2 linked regions of the Stegostoma tigrinum genome follow. The protein of the gene in region 1 interacts with the protein of each later gene in a pairwise test. Links are inferred from orthologs where the notes say so. Each region holds a gene or a part of one and is shown on either strand. Other genes may lie near its edges.

Evidence for each region.
Region 2: the proteins of sh3gl3a (region 1) and rpl35a interact in a two-hybrid assay, tested with the Homo sapiens proteins (2 studies listed by BioGRID and IntAct). The link is inferred for Stegostoma tigrinum from reciprocal best matches to the Homo sapiens genes SH3GL3 and RPL35A.

The regions. Positions count from the first base shown.
Region 1 is NC_081386.1:7,601,054-7,611,105, reverse strand, and holds the start of sh3gl3a (endophilin-A3a), read left to right. Parts: upstream 1-5,346; 5' UTR 5,347-5,447; coding exon 5,448-5,498; intron 5,499-10,052. UniProt on the Homo sapiens protein: Implicated in endocytosis. May recruit other proteins to membranes with high curvature.
Region 2 is NC_081367.1:48,545,369-48,555,765, reverse strand, and holds rpl35a (60S ribosomal protein L35a), read left to right. Parts: upstream 1-5,917; 5' UTR 5,918-6,006; intron 6,007-6,203; 5' UTR 6,204-6,229; coding exon 6,230-6,240; intron 6,241-6,452; exon of another isoform or gene 6,453-6,526; intron 6,527-6,978; coding exon 6,979-7,131; intron 7,132-7,961; coding exon 7,962-8,106; intron 8,107-8,994; coding exon 8,995-9,018; 3' UTR 9,019-9,064; downstream 9,065-10,397. Other genes in the region: iqcg (dynein regulatory complex protein 9), read right to left, coding at 1,851-1,989, 5,534-5,619.

The DNA of each region.
Region 1 (10,052 bases):
GTAAAACAGTATGGTCTTCAATATCATGTGCAGGATAGGAGACTGCAAATACTGTGGTCACCTTGCTTAGGCAGTTTCTTGTCCGCAGCCTAGCTTTTGCTGTGAGGTGTTTACAGTTAAATAGGTAAATTTGAGAGGCTGCGGTTCTCCTTTAGAAGAAAATATTGAGAGGAAATTTGGTAGAGATGAAATGATAAGGGGCTCAGACAGGGTAGAGTGAATCATTGTTGGTAGCCGTGGCTGGGAGCTAGAGGACGCAGACTTAATGATTTCCAAAAGAATTGAGGATCAATCATGATCTAGAACTGAAAGAAAGTATTGCAAGATGCTGCCTGGCTTCCTGTGTTCTTCCAGCCTCCTGTTTCTCTACCTTGAATTCCAGCATCTTTACTTGGAATTAATTTACTTGGAATACTGCGTCCAGTTCTGGGCGCCCTATTATAGGAAAGATGTGGATGCTTTGGAGAGGGTTCAGAGGAGGTTTACCAGGATGCTGCCTGGACTGGAGGGCTTATCTTATGAAGAGAGGTTGACTGAGCTCGGTCTCTTTTCATTGGAGAAAAGGAGGAGGAGAGGGGACCTAATTGAGGTATACAAGATAATGAGAGGCATAGATAGAGTCGATAGCCAGAGACTATTTCCCAGGGCAGAAATGGCTAGCACGAGGGGTCATAGTTTTAAGCTGGTTGGTGGAAAGTATAGAGGGGATGTCAGAGGCAGGTTCTTTACGCAGAGAGTTGTGAGAGCATGGAATGCGTTGCCAGCAGCAGTTGTGGAAGCAAGGTCATTGGGGTCATTTAAGAGACTGCTGGACATGCATATGGTCACAGAAATTTGAGGGTGCATCCATGAGGATCAATGGTCGGCACAACATTGTGGGCTGAAGGGCCTGTTCTGTGCTGTACTGTTCTATGTTCTATGTTCTATGTTCTATTTTAAGGAGTGCCTTTCATGACCACTGTCTCAAATTGGTTGTAAAACACTTAAATTGTTTTTTGAGGTGTAGTCAACCTTGGAATGTATTTGTACGCAGCAAACTCCCCATTTTTTTGTTTAAAGATGCTGGTTGAAGGACTAATATTGGCCACAATGAAATGTCTCTAGATCGTTCTCCATTGCAGCCACCATCAGCACTAGTTGCCTTCTCTAAGAAACCCAGTCTTATCATGACTCTGCTGGGTTGCCTTTACTGGTTTGCCATGTTCGACCCAAAATCATCCAGAAACCTCCTCGAATTGCAACATCACCTGACTCATGGAGCTCCTAGAGGACACCAGAACTGACAACCTGGAAGCATGCAGATGAGAGACTTTTATCATTCTCCATGCACTCTTAACAGCACTCCGACAGGCTGTGTACAGCCTATGTTACATTAAAGCGCTGCTGCCTCAAGCAGGCTGTCCAGTAAACCTGTTCACTGAATGCATTTTTTCCTGCTATTGCAAAACAAGAAACCTGTTTTAACAAACTCAAATGGACTACAGAACTCAGGAATTCAAACATCTTGCATCTTTTAAGGCAACCATAATGTCGATTATTGGTGGGAAACAGTTGACAGGATGGATCATACTCCAGCTGGTGGAAAGACATTTCTGGTTTGTATGATTCTGTACCTTACTTGTGGAAATATGTTTTAGCAGCCGTAGTGCAGTACACGTGGTGTCCCATGTATTGTCTGAGTAAGAACAGTTGAGTTAACATTCACATGTAGTTAACATGTATCCTCCTCTTGTTACAGATATGCCACTCCCCAAAAGCAGCAAGCCACTTCCTGAATGACGAGTCTCACCCCAACATTGAGCTTCATTCAAAATTGAAGCAGACATCAGAACAGTTTATCTGGCTGTAATCTCATTGTTGCTTGTAGAAAGTTGCTGTGCATAAATTGGCTCCCATGTTTCCAAATGTGACTACACTTCAAAAATATTTAATTGGCTGTGAAGTGCATTGGATCATTTTAGAAATCATGAAAGGTGCTGTTTAGATGTAAATTCTCTCTTCACAGATACTGAATAATCTATATCTATTTTCTGTTGTGTACACCAAACAGTGTGAAATGTGTTGACAGTTGTAAATTGTATGCAAGTCCAACAAATGTGTCAAGCAGGTCAGCGTGATATATGCAGTGTGTGGGTGAAGTGAGTTTGAAGTTTTCTGTTTTTTTGTGATGGCTTGCTTCTCGTTTTCAGGCTTCATTGTTGTCCAGTGGAGATCTGAGAAAGCAAGCCAAATGTGTTAGTCTTTTCCTGCCAGTCCGGCCTCGCCATTGCCAAATCTTCAGCTGTGACTTGCGGCAGCACTGAAATTGGTACCAAGCTGAAGCTTGAGAGGAACTCTGAGGTAGTTTAGACCCCATACTGGCATTGTGCAGGCAGACCAGCGTGTGTCATGCTTTGAGCCAAGCTCCCAGCTGTGCGTGAATAGCTTCACTGCCTTATTGGTACCTTGTGAAACCTAAAGGCTTAGGGAATAAACCCTGACACAAATCAAAGGGAGACTAATGTCAAAATCTGAGCAATTTTGCAATCAAGTTGCTGCCAAATGCCCTGCTTTGCCTTTGGACTCGAGCAGATAGATTGGTAAAGGGAACCCTAACTTTTGGGTAGTGAAAGGTATCCAAGTCTAGTCTTCTGCCCTGGCATATGTAGAGCATAAGCATTAGAGACAGCGGCTATAAATCATGAGTCCAACATGAATGGCATAGAAATGGGTTCTATGGGCTCTCTCCACCTGTGGTAAGGATCGTCATTTCTCACTGTTCAGCCAACACCAACTTTGCACAGCCCGTGATTAAGAAGCTTGCTACATCACCTTCAGTTGTTGAATGGATCTTAATCTCTACTCATCAAGCGGATGGATCCAGCATTAAAAGCTTGAAAAGATTTTTTGAAAAAAAGAGGATGTCAAATCTTTGGCAAGCTGGAATGTCAGGACCATTTGCACTCGTTTGACTGTTTGCAGTTGGTGGATAGCTCACAAGACAACCCATAATTGACATGGAAACTTGACTAGAGTCCTGGAATGGGCAATAAGAAACAGAAAGCTTGAAAAGGAGCAAGAGCAATTGTGTGGAAGGGTTAGCCTGGGAAATGGTTGTAGGTGACGTGCTCACCAGGTGTGTATCTTTGGGAGTAGAAGAAACATCGCTAAAATGACACTGATCATGTCATGCAAACTCCGGACACAGGTAGGGGAGCAGCAAGCAGCAAAGTCAAGGAGGGTTGTGGTGAGTGGTGGCCTCTCTGGGACTGGGAGAGGTTATTCCAAATTGGCATCAATTGGGTCTTGCACATTCTGTTGGCCCCAAGGCAAAACATTGCTAAAATGAATGTACTGATGCTAAGTGGGCATACCATTCTTATTAAATCCAGAATGTTAAGCTGAAACATCTTCGTTTACTTGCAACATTTTAAATCCAATTGATTTGGATTACTATGTATGTTACCTTCATTGATCTCATCAGGACATTCAGCCTAATGTGGACTTATCTGTACTCAAGACATAGGAGCAAAATTAAGCCTCTTGGCCCACTGAGTCTGCAGTACCATTCATTCATGAGTGATATGTTTCACAACCTCATTCTCCTGCCATATCCCCATAACATTTAATCCTGTTAATAAACAACAGATCTATCTCTGTTCTGAAATGCACTCAATGACTTGGTCTCCACAGCCTTTTGTGGCAATGAGTTCCACAGATTCCCCACTCTCCGACTGAAGAAATTCTTCCTCATCTCAGTTCTACAGGGTCACCCCTTCACTCTGTGCCCTTGGTTCCTAGTCTCTCCTACTAGTGGAGACATCTTCTCCACGTCCACTCTATCCAGGCCCCCTCGGTATTTTGTATGTTTCAATGAGATCCCACCCATCCTTCTAAACTCCAAGTGCAGTCCAGAGTCCTCAACTGCTTCTCCATTTGACAAGTCCTTCATCCCCAGGATCATTCTTGCAAACTTCCTCTAGACCACCTCCCAGACTGGCACACCTTAGACACAGACCCAGTACTGCTCACAATATTCCAAATTTGGTGTGACCCCCATAGCCTCATACAGACTTGGCAGTACATCTCTGCTCTTGTATTCAAGCCCTCGCAAAATAAATACAAACATTGCTTTTGCCTTCCTGCTTGTCAAACTCAACCTGTATGTTAATATTAAGAGAATACTAAGCTAGGACTCCCAACTAGGGCTGCTGCAGATTTCCAAAGCTTTTCCCCAGTTAGAAAAATAGTTTATACCTTTATTCTTACCAAAGTGCATAATCTCATATTTTCTCATGTTGTATTCCATCAGCCAAGTCTTTGACATCGTGTTTAATCTGTTCAAGTCCTTCCGCAGCCGCACTGCCTGATCCTCCACGTGTTTCAGTGGAGAAAACTTGAGCAATTTCAACAGTAAAACAATGTGATAATGTCTTGTTCGTGACAGCTAAGAGCTTCATCAGAACTCTTCTGAGGTCCGCAGTAGGGTCAGACATTGTTCCATTCAGGTATGTTCTTTCTCTGTGCTGCTGTGTTTAAGCATCCAATCATCTAGAGGATGCTTACTTGTCTAACAAAATGGCAGAAATATTTTCAATCTCTTTTACCTAAGGTGCACCAATGTCGGTCAATACTCATCCAAATGAGCATTCTAAATTAAACAAAACCTTCAGTGGCAAATGGATTGTGTGTCTCGTGTCAGTAAAGAGTTTGATTTGACCATTAATTTCAAGAAGACAAATGTCATTCTCAAGGATGCTGTCACACTGCTATCAGTCAGCACTGATGATGTGACAGTGGAGTTTTGAGATTTGTTGATATTTCACATAGCTAGGTTCCACGATTACCAGCAATCTGCCATTGTATGCTGAAATCAACATGCAACATTGCAAAATCTGCAATTTTGCCTGAGCTGTGTAAGAGTATGGAAAAGTTTGAGGACTGCATACGTCAAATTTATCAGGTTGTATCCTCCATGTACAGATGAATACTGGGAGATCAGGGCAACAAATGCTATTCAAGTGACAAAGTCTAAACCATTTCTCCCGTCATTGTCACAAATACATTCTTGGCAAGACAAGATTACAACTTGGAGACCCTGGAGTATACTACTTTCATCAGAATGTACCCATTGCTAAGCCAGTGACATCTGAATGTGGCTTGGCTGGTGCATCAAAGGGCTGGCAGTCATACACCAAAAACCCTTTTGTGCAGTGAACTGGCCAAGAGGTTAGAATCTCCTGGGTTTCTTTACTTCTATCCTGCTTGAAAATGTCTTAATAAAAATATAGTAGACATTCTCAGCTATGAGGAAGTCACTGATGACCATGATCATGACCTTTCACAGAGACTGAAGGATGACTCAATCAGAAACTGAAAGCTGAACAAGTTGAGAAGAGAGCCCAGAGAAAGTCAAGGCTAGCCAAACATGGGTCCTTCAGCTACTCTGCAGCAAATGCCGTGCCTGAATGCAGCCCAGAGTCACACCAGAGTTGCTTAGTACGCAGCTGACCATCAAGGTACTGTCCACTTCCTTAAATGTATGTATGTATGTCTGCAAAATGAAGGAGCTGGTCATCAACTTCAGGAAGGGGAGTGGAGAGCAGCCCCTATCTGAATCAGTGATGCCGAGGTGAAGATGATAGAGAGTTCCTGGGAGTAAATATTCTCAACAATCTGTCCTGGTCCACCCACATTGATGCTACAGTCAAGAAAGCACACTAATGCCTCTAATTCCTCGGAACACGAAGGAACTCCGGCATGTCTACAGTGACTCTTACCAATTTTTATAGATGCACCATAGAATGCATCCTTTCCACATGTATCACAGCTCGGTACAGCAACTGCTTTGTCCAAGACTGCAAATTACAGAGAGTTGTGAATGCAGCCCTGTCCATCATCCAACCAGCATTCCTACCATTGACCCTGTCTATACTTTGGGCTGCCTTGGGAAAACAGCCAACATCATCACAGATCCTTCCCACCCCGCTTATACTCTCTTCCTCCCTCTTCTGTCAGGCAGAAGATACAAAAGTTTGAAAACATATACCAACAGGTTCAAGAACAGTTTCTTCCCCGCTGTTATCAGACTTACTAATGGATCCCTCATACATTAGTGTCGATCTTTCTCTGGAGCCATAACCCAAACTCTGCATTCTGTTCTATCACCCTGATGTACAGTATGAATTGCCTGGATCGCAAACAAAACAAAACTGAGTCATAGAGCCCTACAGCACAGAGACAGGCCCTTTGGCCCAAACTGGTCCATGACGACCAAAATGTCCATCCATGCTAACCCCATTTTCCTGCACGTGACCCATATCTTTTTAAACTTTCCCTTTCCGTGTATTCGTCTAAATGCCTTTTAAATGTTGTTACTGTACCTGCCTTAACCACTTCCTCTGGCAGGTGATCCCATATGCGTACCACCCTCTGTGTAAAAAAAAAAGTTGCCCCTCCAGTTCCCCTGTATTCATTCCCCTCTTACCTTAAACTGAGGCCCTCTAGTCCTCGATTTCCACAACCCTGGGAAAAAGACTGAATGCATTCACCTTATCCATGCCTCTCTTAGACTTCTTTGAGATTTGCCCCCTCAGTCTTCTATGCTGTAAAGAAAACAGTCCTAGCTTGTCCAGCCTCTCTGTACAACTCAGTTCTGGCAACATCCATGTAAGTTTCTTTTGCACTCTTTCCAGTTTATAATATCCTTCCTATAGCATGGAGGCCAGACTGAGTAGGGATGGCAGTTTCCTTCCCTAAAGGACATTAGTGAACCAGATGGGCTTTTCCTGACAATCGACAATGGATTCACAATCATCATTAGACTCTTCATTCCAGATATTTATTGACTTCAAATTGCACCAGTTGCCGTGGCAGGATTTGAACCTGAGTCCCTAAATGTTATCTGGGGCTCTGAATTAACAGCCCAGTGATAATGCCACTAGGCCATCACCTCATTTTTCACTGAATGTCAACACATGTAACAATAGTAAATCAAATCAAGTCGATTTATAGCTATTTCAGATTAGTAATGTTGAATGTGGGTTTTATAGGCTGACTACCATAAGAATAAAATTCAAGTACTTTATTGCTTCTGTCAGGAAAGCTTGGATATTCACTTTCACCAAAGTGACTTCCGTTATGTCCCTTGCTCCTGAGGGAGCTGATGCTGGCTCCATAATGCTTTAAGTATCCTGCCCGAATACTCTGTTCTTAATCATCAACTTGTGAAGTGAGTTTCACAGTGCAGTGCCTTAAAACCAAGTGTAGTTCTGTTCTGAGCAGTTTGATAGCTAATTCTTTTCTAGCAGAAATGTGAATAGAAACCCTGGGGACTGAAGTTCAGTTGCTAAGTTGTTGCAGTTCAGCCGACTCCCAGCTGGAACCTCCTAACACGAGCAGTGCTTACCCCTGTCAAAGTGGCCATTCTAATAAAGATAAACATAAAGAAATTGTAAATGTTTTAATCCACCGACATCCATTGTTACCTATTGAAATTATGCTTGAATATGATATTGAAAGTTATACAGGGGTTTCTGCTGTAATGTGTGTTCTGACAGAGCGAATTGGCTATAACGCGACTGATGAATAAGGGAATGCTGTTTCTAAAATGTGATCTTCGTATTGGCTATAATGTGATTCCATGGAGTATGCGTCAACATCGTGTGGTTGTTTTGCGGGCTTTGTGCTGAGCATGCGCAGTGTTAGCGCTGAAAGAGTCTCCGTGCCAGCATCACGTGGTCATCAGCGCTCCCTGCGAGTACAGCACTCTGGTTTTATTTTTGCTAATTCTGCCGTGTTACCCACAAAAATGTGAGGATAAAGTGATAAGAATGTTAGTAAGAAGCAACCAGGTGATGAAAGCCAATCCCCAAGAAACAGTCAGAAGACAATGAACCACAGCCAAATACTTGTGGATTAACTGTTTGTTTTGCTGTAACCCTGCACCACAACTGCACTTGAAGATAATGATGATGATGATGATGACAACCCTTAGGCTCTGTATTAACAACACTGCAACCTCAAAACCACCCCTCCCATCAAGACATCTTGACATTTTTTTCAAGACAAGGTATTAAATTTCCTTTTATTTCATTATTCAATACAAATTAAACATTTATTCAAGCTGTGCTATCCTTTGTGTTGTGATTGTTGAGTGATACCTTTTGGTGGTCTGCCCTACACCCACTTTTCCCAGTGCGCAATTTTCTATAACACGATGTTGCGCAAGAATGCAACTGTCGTATTCTAGCAGAAGCCCCTGTATCAGGAATTAGCTTAAAGGGATAATAGAATCCTTAACAATGAAAACTATGACTTTTTTAATGCAACACATTTTATTTGTAATTGAAATTGTGCAGCTTAGAATGCTTATAATGCTTTTCATGTGCTCATGATATCCCCCAAATTCTTTTGAGCCAGTGAATTATCTGAGAGATTGTTTTGCAGGCAGATGGCTGGGCTGTTTATGCACCGTGAGGTAGTGATGAGATAAATGATCACTTATTGCATTTTGGCTTGTGTTGGTTGAGAAATAAATGTTTCTAAAATGCCATGAATCGCCTCCCCTTCTTTGAGTAGTGCCAAGGAGCCTGTTGAACAAGCATGGGAAACCTGGGTTTGCCATCTCATTGAATGGCAGCAGCTCCAACAATTCGGCATCAACCTGTTGGACTAAATGATCCTGTAAGGACCCCAGAAGGGGGATCAAATCCAACACTACTTTATACAGACATGTATTCTAGTATTTAACCAATGACAGTTGATATAGGCAAAGCTATTTCTCATTGAGATTTTTTTGTGGTGTGACAAATGACCACCGAGTGCCAGTTCATGTTTTGTTCTAATTCGCTTTTGAAAGGCTTTCACATATTTATGGATATTAATTTCACATTGATTTTTGTTTTTCCTTAATGTCCCATTTTAAACCTCATGGATCGTTATTGTGGAGGTTTGCATTATGGAGACATTTCATGTATAATATTCCAGTATCAATTTTTTTTAATATATTCTCTGTAAATAACATAGCCTGAGGAGTCTATTAGTTCCAGCTGTGTATTGATGTGTGCAGTTTCTTAGGAGCAAAAAATATCTTCTGTCATAGATTTTAATTTCAAATATTGGTGCTAATGACATCAATTCTTGTGGCTCAGATGCTATTACAAGTATTTAACAAGACCATAATCTTGTGTCATTGTGACAACTGTGTAACAACTAGCTTTCAGATATCCAGCCATTATAATTAGCTATTTTACAAAATAATTTCTACAATGCTCAGCGGACAATTTTTTTTCCTCTCACCCTGAAAAGCATTGCTAGCAACACAATGCACACATATTACAATTGTTGTACAAATGTGTTCGATCCATGAAAATTATCTGTGCTAGTATTGTGAGATAACAAGATGCAGAGCTGGATGAACACAGCAGGGCAAGAAGATGCTGCTTGGCCTGCTGTGTTCATCCAGCTCTACACCTTGTTATCTCAGGAACAGCAAATGCTGGAGAATCCATTATCTCTGTGCTAGTATTGCAATAGTTTGCCCATTGTGGTGGTACGAAAATCATCGCATTTAATTGTGACTTCCATATTTCACAATACTCACTTGTTTTGTATATGTGACATAATCATTACCAAGTGATAGAACTCCAAGGTATTGTCACAAAATATTATAGTTGCGCATATGATGTTCACAAGTGTTGCATAGTCTTTCACAATTTAAAATACTTGCAGTATGGAATACTTGTCATATGGAAAGATTGCATAAGGACTAGTTTCAAACACAAATTATATGCTTAAAGAGCATTATTGAACACAGAAACATGGCAGAATAGAAAATATTCAGCCCTTTTGAGACTGTTCTTCCATTCAGTATGATCATGGCTGATCACCCAGTTTGGTACTCTGTACTATGTTGATCCCTTTTGACTAAGAACTATATCCAAATCCTTGTTAAAAACATTCAACTATTTTTAGTTTCTACTGATTTCTGTGGCAGAGAATCCCACAGGCGCAGCAGTCTCTGATAATAACAATGATAATAATGACATTGGGCAGGTGAATAATCTTCTATT
Region 2 (10,397 bases), on another chromosome or scaffold:
CTGAAGGGCCTGTTCTGTGCTGTACTGTTCTATGTTCTATGTTCTAACATGGCTGAATAACTGGGGTTTTGTCATACATCTACTGTTTGCCAGTTCTGGTGGTCGTTAGTATGAAACCTGTAACAAAAGAGGTTACAATTTTTGACTATCCCATTTCTAAACTCAGTGGACAAATTTTGCGAGGGCCTCATCTCCTCTTACCATAGGTGACCAACAATTTTTGTGTCCGTCAAAATGAAGGAACTGGCTGGGAGCAGGTTTTCAATGAATTCTGTTCCGGTTTAATTTGCAAGCCCTTTTCAATTCTATATCGTGGGTAACAAAATTTTTGCACAGCGATAAGTCGAATATATTTACACTTTGCATTGAGGTGATCAAACTTGTTAAATATACAGATCATTCTATTTGTTTATACCTGTACAAGGGCAATGTGGCCAAAGTGGATACTGTACCCGGTGTGGCTTCCTCTACATTGGGGAAACCAAGCAGAGGCTTTGTTACCGCTTTGCAGAACACCTCTGCTCAGTTCGCAACAAACTACTGCACCTCCCAGTCGCAAACCATTTCCACTCCCCCTCCCATTCTTTAGATGACATGTTCATCATGGGCCTCCTGCAGTGCCACAATGATGCCACCCGAAGGTTGCAGGAACAGCAACTCATATTCCGCTTGGGAACCCTGCAGCCTAATGGTATCAATGTGGACTTCACCAGTTTCAAAATCTCCCCTTCCCCCACTGCATCCCAAAACCTGCCCAGTTCATCCCCTCCCCCCACTGCACCACACAACCAGCCCAGCTCTTGCCCTCCACCCACTGCATCCCAAAACCAGTCCAACCTGTCTCTGCCTCCCTAACCTGTTCTTCCTCTCACCCATCCCTTCCTCCCACCCCAAGCCGCACCCCCATCTACCTACTAACCTCATCCCACCTCCTTGACCTGTCCGTCTTCCCTGGACTGACCTACCTCCCCACCTATACTCTCTCCACCCATCTTCTTTTCTCTCCATCTTCGGTCCGCCTCCCCCTCTCTCCCTATTTATTCCAGAACCCTCACCCCATCCCCCTCTCTGATGAAGGGTCTAGGCCCGAAACGTCAGCTTTTGTGCTCCTGAGACGCTGCTGGGCCTGCTGTGTTCAGCTAGCCTCACATTTTGTTGTCTTGGATTCTCCAGCATCTGCAGTTCCCATTATCACTGTTGATCGTACTGTTGCCTCACAGTGCCAGGGTCCCAGGTTTGATTCCAGCCTTAGGCTACTGTCTGTGCAGATTTTGCACGTTCTTCCTGTGTCTGCTGGGGTTTCTGTCCAGTGCTCCAGTTTCTTCTCACAGTGCAAAGATGTGCAAGTTAGGTGGTTTGGCCTTGGTAAATTGACCAGTAGTGTCCAGGGATGTGCAGGCTAATTAATGCAGGGTCACAGGGATAAGGTGGGATGCTCCTTGGAGAGCTGGTGTGGACTTGATGGTCCAAATGGCTTCTTTTTATACTGCAGGAATTCTATCTTTCTATGAAGTACTACAGCAAATACCAAGCACCATTGCAAAGAGACAGTTACAGTCTGTCCTGCTATTTCACTCTAAGGTTGGTGGAATACAGTTAATTCCAGTAACCATTAAATAATTGAAATTAAGACAGATCCAAGGTTATGTATTTGCAATTGCTCCAATTTTTACATTTATTTCACTTTCTCCCTGCTGCTACAGGTTTCCTTGGGATACACACATTCTTCTAAATGACAGGATGTTCGACACCCTTGATGATCTGAAACATCAACAACTAATTTAATACCTCTGAGGATGCAGTCTATGTGATACATAGACAGATGGTCAAATATTCATGGAATCACTTACACTGGTTACATCTGTCTTTTCCTCATAGGAGACTGGCATGATGAGGCCAAGAATGGTTAATTGATCTACACAATCCCCTAACACGGTGCCAATGCGAAGAATATCCCCCTGCGAAAGTGGTTGTATTTCCTCAGCCTCTCTTTTTTAAAAAAAAAACAAGAAGGAAAACAGGTTATACTGTATTTAAGCAAGGATTTGATTGCATCTCATATTCTGCCTCGTGACCCTGCAACCTTCAGAACTCAATATTGAGTCCTGTGAAAACATGAAAACAATCAACCAATGAATAATTTTAGGGCCTGAACACCTTATTCCACCCCCACACACCAGGCCTCGTCATCATGAGTTGCTGTCACCATAGCTAATGCATTTTCACTCACTAATGGTGCCCCTTAGCAGCTTTTCCTTCTCTCCAGCTAGCCAACCTTTCTTTTGTCTGTCCAACTGCTGTTTTTTTTTTCTCTATGGGCTCCATTTCCAATTACATCCATTCCTGTTTAGCAAGATTAGATGACATGGAATCCAGGGAGAGCTAGCCATCTGGAATCAAAACTGGTTTGAAGGTAGGAGACAGCGGGTGGTGGTCGAGAGTTGCTGTTATGACTGGCAGCCTATGACCAGCTATCTGCTGCAAGGACTGGTACTGAGTCTGCTGCTTTTTGTCATTTTATATAAATGATTTGCATGTGAATATAGAAGGAATGGTTAGGAAGTTTGCAGATGATATTAAAACTGGTGATGCAGTAGATAATGAAGAAGATTATCTCAGAGTACAACAGGACCTTGATCAGGTAGGCCAATGGGCCAAGGAATGGCGGATGCAGTTTAGTTTAAATAATTGTTCCATTTTGGTAAGGCAAATCAGTGTAGGACTTATATATTTAATGGTAAGGTCCTAGGGAGTGTTACCAAACAAAGGACCTTGGAGTGTGCATTCATAGTTCGTTTCAAAGTGGAGTCATAGGCAGATAGAGAATGAAGAAGTCGTTTGGTATGCTTGCTTTTATTGCTCAGTGCACTGAGTATAGGAGTTGAGATTCATGTTGTGGTTGTACAGGACATTAGTTAGGCAACTTTTGAAATACTACGTTCAATTCTCATCTCGCTTCTATAGGCAAGATGTTGTTAAACTTGAAAGGGCACAGAAAAGCTTTACAAGCATATTACTGGTGTTGGGCAGTTTGAACTATAGGGTGAGGGTGAATTGGCTGGGGCTATTTTCCCTGGAGCATCTCAGGCTGAGGGGTATCATAATAGAGGTACATAAAAGCATGATGGGCATAGTTAGGTGAATGGCCAAGGTTTTGATAGGGGAGGGGAGTCCAAAACTTGACAGCATAGGTTTAAAGTGAGAGGGGAAAGATTTAAAAGGGACCTAAGTAGCACCTTTTTCATGCAGAGTGGTGTGTGTATGGAATGAGCTGCCAGATGAAGTGTTGGAGGCTAGTACAATTACATCAGTTAAAAGGCATCTGGATTGGTAGATAAATAGGAAGGGTTTACAAGGATATGGCCAAATGCTGGCAGATGGGAGTAGATTAATTTAGGATGTCTGATCAGCATGGGCAAGTTGGACTGAAGGGTCTGTTTCCATGCTGTACAACTCTATTAAAAAATCTTGATGACTTTCATCTGCTCCTTTAATTCATGGTGAAGAAGAATACGGTTCCTGATAGTAAGTGTGATCAGATTTACTTCGGACAGATTTAGTTCCAGAACTACATATTAGGTGAGTCTATGCCTAATATGTCAACCAATTGGTAAGTAGGAAGGTCACTGCCATTTTAAGTGGCTCATAAGCATAATTGGTAAGTAAGCAATGATTTCAAAATTGTAATATCACGCTTGTGAATGTCATATTTTTGGAGGATAAATTGTACAAGGTGGTATATTTTGAGACTGTATGCAAGTGTGTATATGCATGTTTTTAATATTGTAGAGAATAAACCGTATATTTCCGATCCGTTTTAAAATCTCTTTCCTTACATCTCTCTTGTGGAGAATGAATGGGACACTTGTGATCTTTTTTAGAATTGTTTTCCTTGCATCTCTCGAGTGTGAGAATATAACATTTATGTAGGAATTCCTTTGATTCATGAGATACAAAATTTGGAAAGGAGCAAATCCTGGTCCTTGATTAGTCATGAAAATGTAAGATTAATGCTAATAGCTATGTTAAAATTTCTGCAAGCTGTGAAATCCAACTTTGTTTTTGCAATTGTACGGAATGATCAAATAAAACAGTGCTACCTCAAAGGATAGTCATTAAACTGTACCCAAAGGTTGGTTAATCTCATTTGAAATATTTGGCTCAAATGAAATTCTGTGGTTTTGTTATCTTTTTTAAAATATTAATCCAGTTAAAATAGAATCAGACTAATGGACTGAAGAGTTAATATTTCAAAACTTAAGAATTAAGGTCAACAGTGTATATAATAAATAGCTACTAGTTTTTAAGATATCCTTCATTACACCTAAATGTACCAGATCTTAAAAGTGATAATAATGGAAATCTCGTTTTGCTATTGATTAGTATAAACAGGTTTCCGTTACTAAGTTATGCCAAGGTGCGGTAATAATGCAATAGCTTGGACTTTGGTCAATGGCAGTTTTGCAAAAGAGTAAAAATGTTGTCAAATTGGTTCCAAGTGTTTGAGTTTTTTAACCCTGAGCAAATCTTTTGGGAATGGGTTGAAAAACTGTAATCTAAGAAATTCAAAATAAATTCTTGTGATAATGCAGTGGTAACAGTAATGAATGTTTAACCAAAAGTCAACATTCAGAATTCTAACTTACAATTTTCTTTAAAAAATTGCTTTTCTTATTCTGGTTTAAGTAAGTTTGTTGATAACAACAAAATTGGACAGTGAAGAAAGTTATCTCAGTACAAAGGGACCTTAATCACGTGGGCTGAGGAGTGGCAGATAGAGTTTAAATAAATTGAGGTGTTCCATTTTGGTAAGGCAATCAGGGTAAATGTTCATAGTTCCTTGCAAGTGGAGTCACAGGTAGATAGGGTAGTGACGAAGGGATTTGGTACACTTGTATTTGTTGATCAGTGCATTGTGTATAGTAGCTGGGATATCATGTTGCAGTCGTACAGGACATCGGTTAGGCCACTTTCGGAATACTGTGTTCAGGAAAGGTGTTGTGAAACTTGAAAGGATTCAGAAAAGATTTATAAGAACGTTGAAGAGTTTGAGCTATAGGGAGAGGCTGAATAGGCTGGGACTATTTTCCATGCAGAGTCAAAGACTGATCTTATAGAGGTTTACACAATCATGAGGGGCACAGATAGGGTGACTAGCCAAGGTCTTTTTTTCCCCAGGGTAAGGGAGTGCAAACCATAGAGCATAAGTTTAAAAGGACCTAAGAGGCAACTTTTTCCGCAGGGAGGGCAGTGCCTGTATGGAATGAGCAGCCACAGGGAGTCAATTGGCTGTTATATGAATAGAAACGGTTTAGAGGGATATGGGCCAAGTGGGACTAAATTAACTTAGAATATCTGGTTGACATGGACAAGTTGGACCGAAGGGTCTGTTTCCATGCTATACAACTCTGTGTTGTATTGACTTGTCCCCCCGTCCTCTCGCCCTCCTTTCCAGCAATGTGTGTTTGCCGTCAACCGTTTTCTTCATAGATCATAGATAACTGCATATAAATCGTCTCTCAGACGAACTCACCCTTTTTTGTCATGATTTGTAGTCGATGGAGAATCACTTTTGGGAAAGTTACAAAGATCCTCTCTATTCACTCCGGTCGTATACATGATTGCCTGTTACCGTGGAAACACTTCGGGGCTTACACTGACTGAGCTGTCCACGGCGTTGCCTTGCAGTCAAGTTCATCACTACAAAGCAAATGCATTACGACATTCATGAGTCTGAGCATGTATAAATATTTAAACATGCTTTTAAAATAAATTTCCACCTATTTTTTGAATAAATTAGTTCTAGGATTGAATTTTTTTATCCGTGAAATTGGCCAAGTTTAGTTGTTTTTATAACTGTAGCTTTTAAAAAAATATTTGTTTTAGTTTATTATTTGGTCCAATATATTGTCTGGTTCGGTTTGGGCGAATTGGCCGCTTCCGTCAGTTCATTTCCCGGCCTGCCTTGCTGCAGCCTCTTCGTCCATCTTGGTAGCAGGGCCGGCGGTGAGTTAGAGATATGCTCGTTTCTAACAGCTATTTAACTGTTGTTGATGATATAATGGAACCTCATCGTAGAAGTATCTGTTGTATAATATAGTGAGATTTAGATATTTATTATCTGAGAGAGTTTATGTCAGCGGATGTTTGCGATAGCGAACGGATTGTACTTGGTGTTGACTGTCCTCCTGTCTTTTTCTCAGATCCAGCTGCCCCGAGCGCGCTCGCAATGCCCGGAAGGTAAGAGCTGGTCCTGGGGGCCGCGCACACTTAGGCTGGGGCAGCTTCTTAGAAGCGCCTGATTGGGTATATCATCAAGGGGCTGTGGGTAGAATACCGGGGCCCTTCTGCAAACGTGTTCGTTTTTCTTCTGATGCCTGTTAATATGGATTATCGTTTCGGCTAGTGGTTTAGAGTCAACAGGCCTATCCAGTTCTCGTATATCTACTCACCCTCGCATTGCATCCCTCATTCTCTTGTTCAAAGTATATCCTCGTGCGTTTGATTCAGTGATATCCATGGCGCGCTGTAAAATTAAATGAGATTTTTCAACTAAGTGACTAGTACTCTCCGGGAGATAATGAACGAATTTCAGATCTGGCCTGGTTTTTTTTCCGACAAAGAGAATCTTCTGCAATAGAAATCAATAGAAAAGTCTGGAAATGCACTGGGCTGACATCCGAAATAATAGATAAATATTTTGCCTGAGATTGTTCAATGGAGCCTTAATTACAAAAACAAACGACCGGACCCGAGAAATACCAAATAAAACAGTAAATGCTGTAAAAACACATCCGGAAGCTTCTGTGGAGACAAGCAGTTAACATTCCTGATCAAGTGATCTTCCATCTGAACTCTTCTAATTTATCTATCTGGAATTCTTTGACTTAATGTCTTTTTCATTTTATATTGAAAAGTTAATCATTTATTTGAGCTTCTGTGTAAAATACAAAGCTCATTTTGTATCTTATTCTGCAGATTGTGGTGTAAAGCTGTGTTTACAGGCTATAAACGAGGCCTTCGAAACCAGAGAGAGCACACTGCTCTACTGAAGATTGAGGGTGTTTATTGCCGCAATGAAACAGATTTTTACCTGGGCAAGAGATGCGCTTATGTCTACAAGGCAAAGAAGTACGTATGCATCACTGTGAATTGCATATGCTATATTCCTTTGACTGATTTGTAATGTTTGTTGTACAATCATTGTTGGAAAAATGGGGTTGTTTGAATTCACTTGCTATGTTTGACTTTACTTGCATGAAAGTTTTGCGGTATCTGGTACCATATGTGTTTGTTCCAGTGAATTGTCGTTATGGTAGAATTAGCATCTTAGTTTGTGTAGTATTTAACAGAAGACCAAAATTTATTACCTGCTTCATATTAGTCTTTTAGAAGTTGACCAGATTTAAATGTATGCTCGTTTAAAATACATCCTTATAAATGTATCAGGTTTACTGTAGATCTCACCTTGAATCTGTTCTTGATAGTTATTGAATTCATTAACTTTCAACTAGCTGATAATGGAAAAACTCCACCATTTGTTTATGGTTGGCAGTATGATCTTAATGCTCCATGTTGTGTTTTTGTTTTTGACCGCAGCATTGTTTATGGATTTTTCATTTTTAAAAGTGCTATGCAGCTGTATGTGCACTCTAATTTTATCTGAGTTGCTTGGTACATTTTTGCTGTCCTGGAAGGGGGTGATAAGGAAAGAAAGAGAATGATTATTATCTGAGATTGTTGAATCCATGTGGCTGAGTTTTGTTTTTGGATTTATCTTTGGTTATGTAATTTTACTTCTCAAACTCTTCTGAAGGCTACATTAGAAACCCACTAAATGATAACATCTAGCTGGGTAGTAGTTCACTGTTGCAACAATGGCTCTTTGCTTCACTGGTTTCCACTTGAGAAAGCATTGTTCACCTTTGTTTTTAAATGTAATTTTCTTTTTCTTTTTGAAGTAACACTGTGACTCCTGGTGGTAAACCAAACAAGACTCGTGTCATTTGGGGTAAAGTAACCCGTGCTCATGGAAACAGTGGCATGGTGCGTGCAAAGTTCAGCAGTAACCTGCCTGCTAAAGCTATTGGGCATAGAATTCGTGTGGTGAGTGCCAGAATCAATCTTTTTCAGATGCTGATTTTATTATATTTGATCTTCCAATATTGAACAAATCCTCATGGTGGCCTGGGCATCTAGAGGTTTATTGGCTGTGTTTAGTGTGTATATTATAGTGATCAAAATTCTCCTTTCATCACAGAGTTTGAGCTGCTTGTGTTACCGTTCAGCAGCTTGATTATGTTCTAAAATATGTTTTTGTCTGTTTTAAAATAACTCAAGTTATTCAACAGTCTGTACCATTTGTTTCACTTGGAGCACGTCATCATCAAATTTAAATGTGTATTGCTTCAGATATCTTTGACAGATGACACTGAATTGTCCCGTCAGGGATAGCATTTTTTTTCTGCAATGGCTTATTAGAAAATACTGAAATAAATAATTTTTGTGAAGGCTGACCACCATTGCTGAATTGTTTATTTTCCAAGCTAGTTGGTATTTAGATGATTTACAATGTGAGGTTTTTAAAAAAATGCTTTGTTTTTTTTTTGCAGTCTCTTTAGATACTCAAGTCATTTTTGGCGCAGCTAAGTTTGGTACAATCTTGACTGCAGTATGTTTGAACAAACCTAGCACAATTTACTGGTTTTGGCTTGAGGCAATCATTGATTTTTTTTTGGAAAAAACCCAACTGTGAGGGAGTTTGTTTGCTTGTAGTCAAGCTGTATCTGTTCAGTTGCACAAAACTTACAGACATTACAAAATCATGGAAATAAAATGGCTAGTGATGACACCAAAGAGAGTAGTAGCTGGGCAAATGTGTTTCTCCACATATGCACAGCTTAAATGTATTGTGACTCATTTGATGGAAATAGTAAGCTGTTTGTGGATGGTTCATTTTATTTATTCACCTTTGATTTTTTTTTAAATTTCCAGATGCTGTACCCATCAAGGATCTAAAGTGCAGCTGTACATAAATTGACAATAAATAGTGAAATGATTTAAATTGCTTGGTTTTGTGTTCTTACTTGTGTATGTAAATGATCGTGGAACAAATTCTTAGTGAAATACAAATTGCATGACCATTTTACAAATCTGTATGATGTGACTGATGTTTATTACTAAACAGTTTTGTACCATTCATGAAATCTGCAATGGATCTGTTTAGCCTTATCCTTCCCTTGGTTTAACTCAGTGCCTTCGGTGTGTGATATTTGTTTAAAGTTTTTATATGGAAACAACTGATCAAACTCATTCTTGCAGAAATAAAACTGATTTTGATTGGGAGAATGAAGAGAAAAATACCAGCTAACTTCTCCGAATTTGGAGTATTGCATGTAGTTGGTGGAAGAAATTTTTACCAAGCTTGGGATCCCAAACGTTTTGAGGTAAAAGAGGATGAGCCGGGAAAGTATGCTATGACCATGAATACTAGTTCAGCACCAGTTGGAATATGCCCATTTGTGCACATGCTACCTTAAGTATGCTTTTACTTTCCTAAAATGTTCAGAAGAAATTAGCTAAAAAGGTTCTAGAGATGAGGATTACAGTTGTGTGGGATTGCATAAATGAGGAAAAAATTGGATAATTTGTATCGGTAACTTCAGTGCATGGATTTAAGCTGCCTGATAAGACAGCTACAGGTGACTTGAGGATAAACTTTTATGCAACACTTTAGTTGTAATTTGGATTGCAGTCTTCTGTGAATACAGATGCAGTAGTAGCTTGAAGAGGGAATTGGATATATACCTGGATTAAAAATTGCAGTGTTGTGAGAAAATTGGATAAAATTTAGAGTGCTATGCATAGACTTGATTAGTCATAACTTCTTGTGCTATTCTATGGATAACTATTGGAAAGCTTCTATTACCTTGTGTTGAAGACACAGAATTTAGGAAAGAGCATTAATGTGCATTCATCTGAATTACAGCCAAAATATTAAGTCACTAAAACTGTTTCTTGCTGGGAACTTGCAAGCCATCATAATTACATAAATATGCATACTTAAATCACTTTCCATAGAGAACAGTGAGTGATCTTCAAGGGATAGGCTGCATTAATCATGTCTTCAGTTGCACGTAGCACCGGAAGTAATTCAAATATTGACTTATGGGAGCCTGCTTACTCCTTTTAACCTAGTTCTGACTGCATCTTTCTTTTCTATTTACTTCGATAGAATGGAGAACAGAAAGCCAATTTTAAAAAGGAAAACCTTGAACTCCTGAACTATGTCGCTGGTGGTCAACCGTTCCCTGTCTGCTGGCATTCAAACTCTCTTCCTTATAGATGCGTCACAGTGACTGCAGCTACTGCTCATTTCTGGAGTTAATGTGACGTGT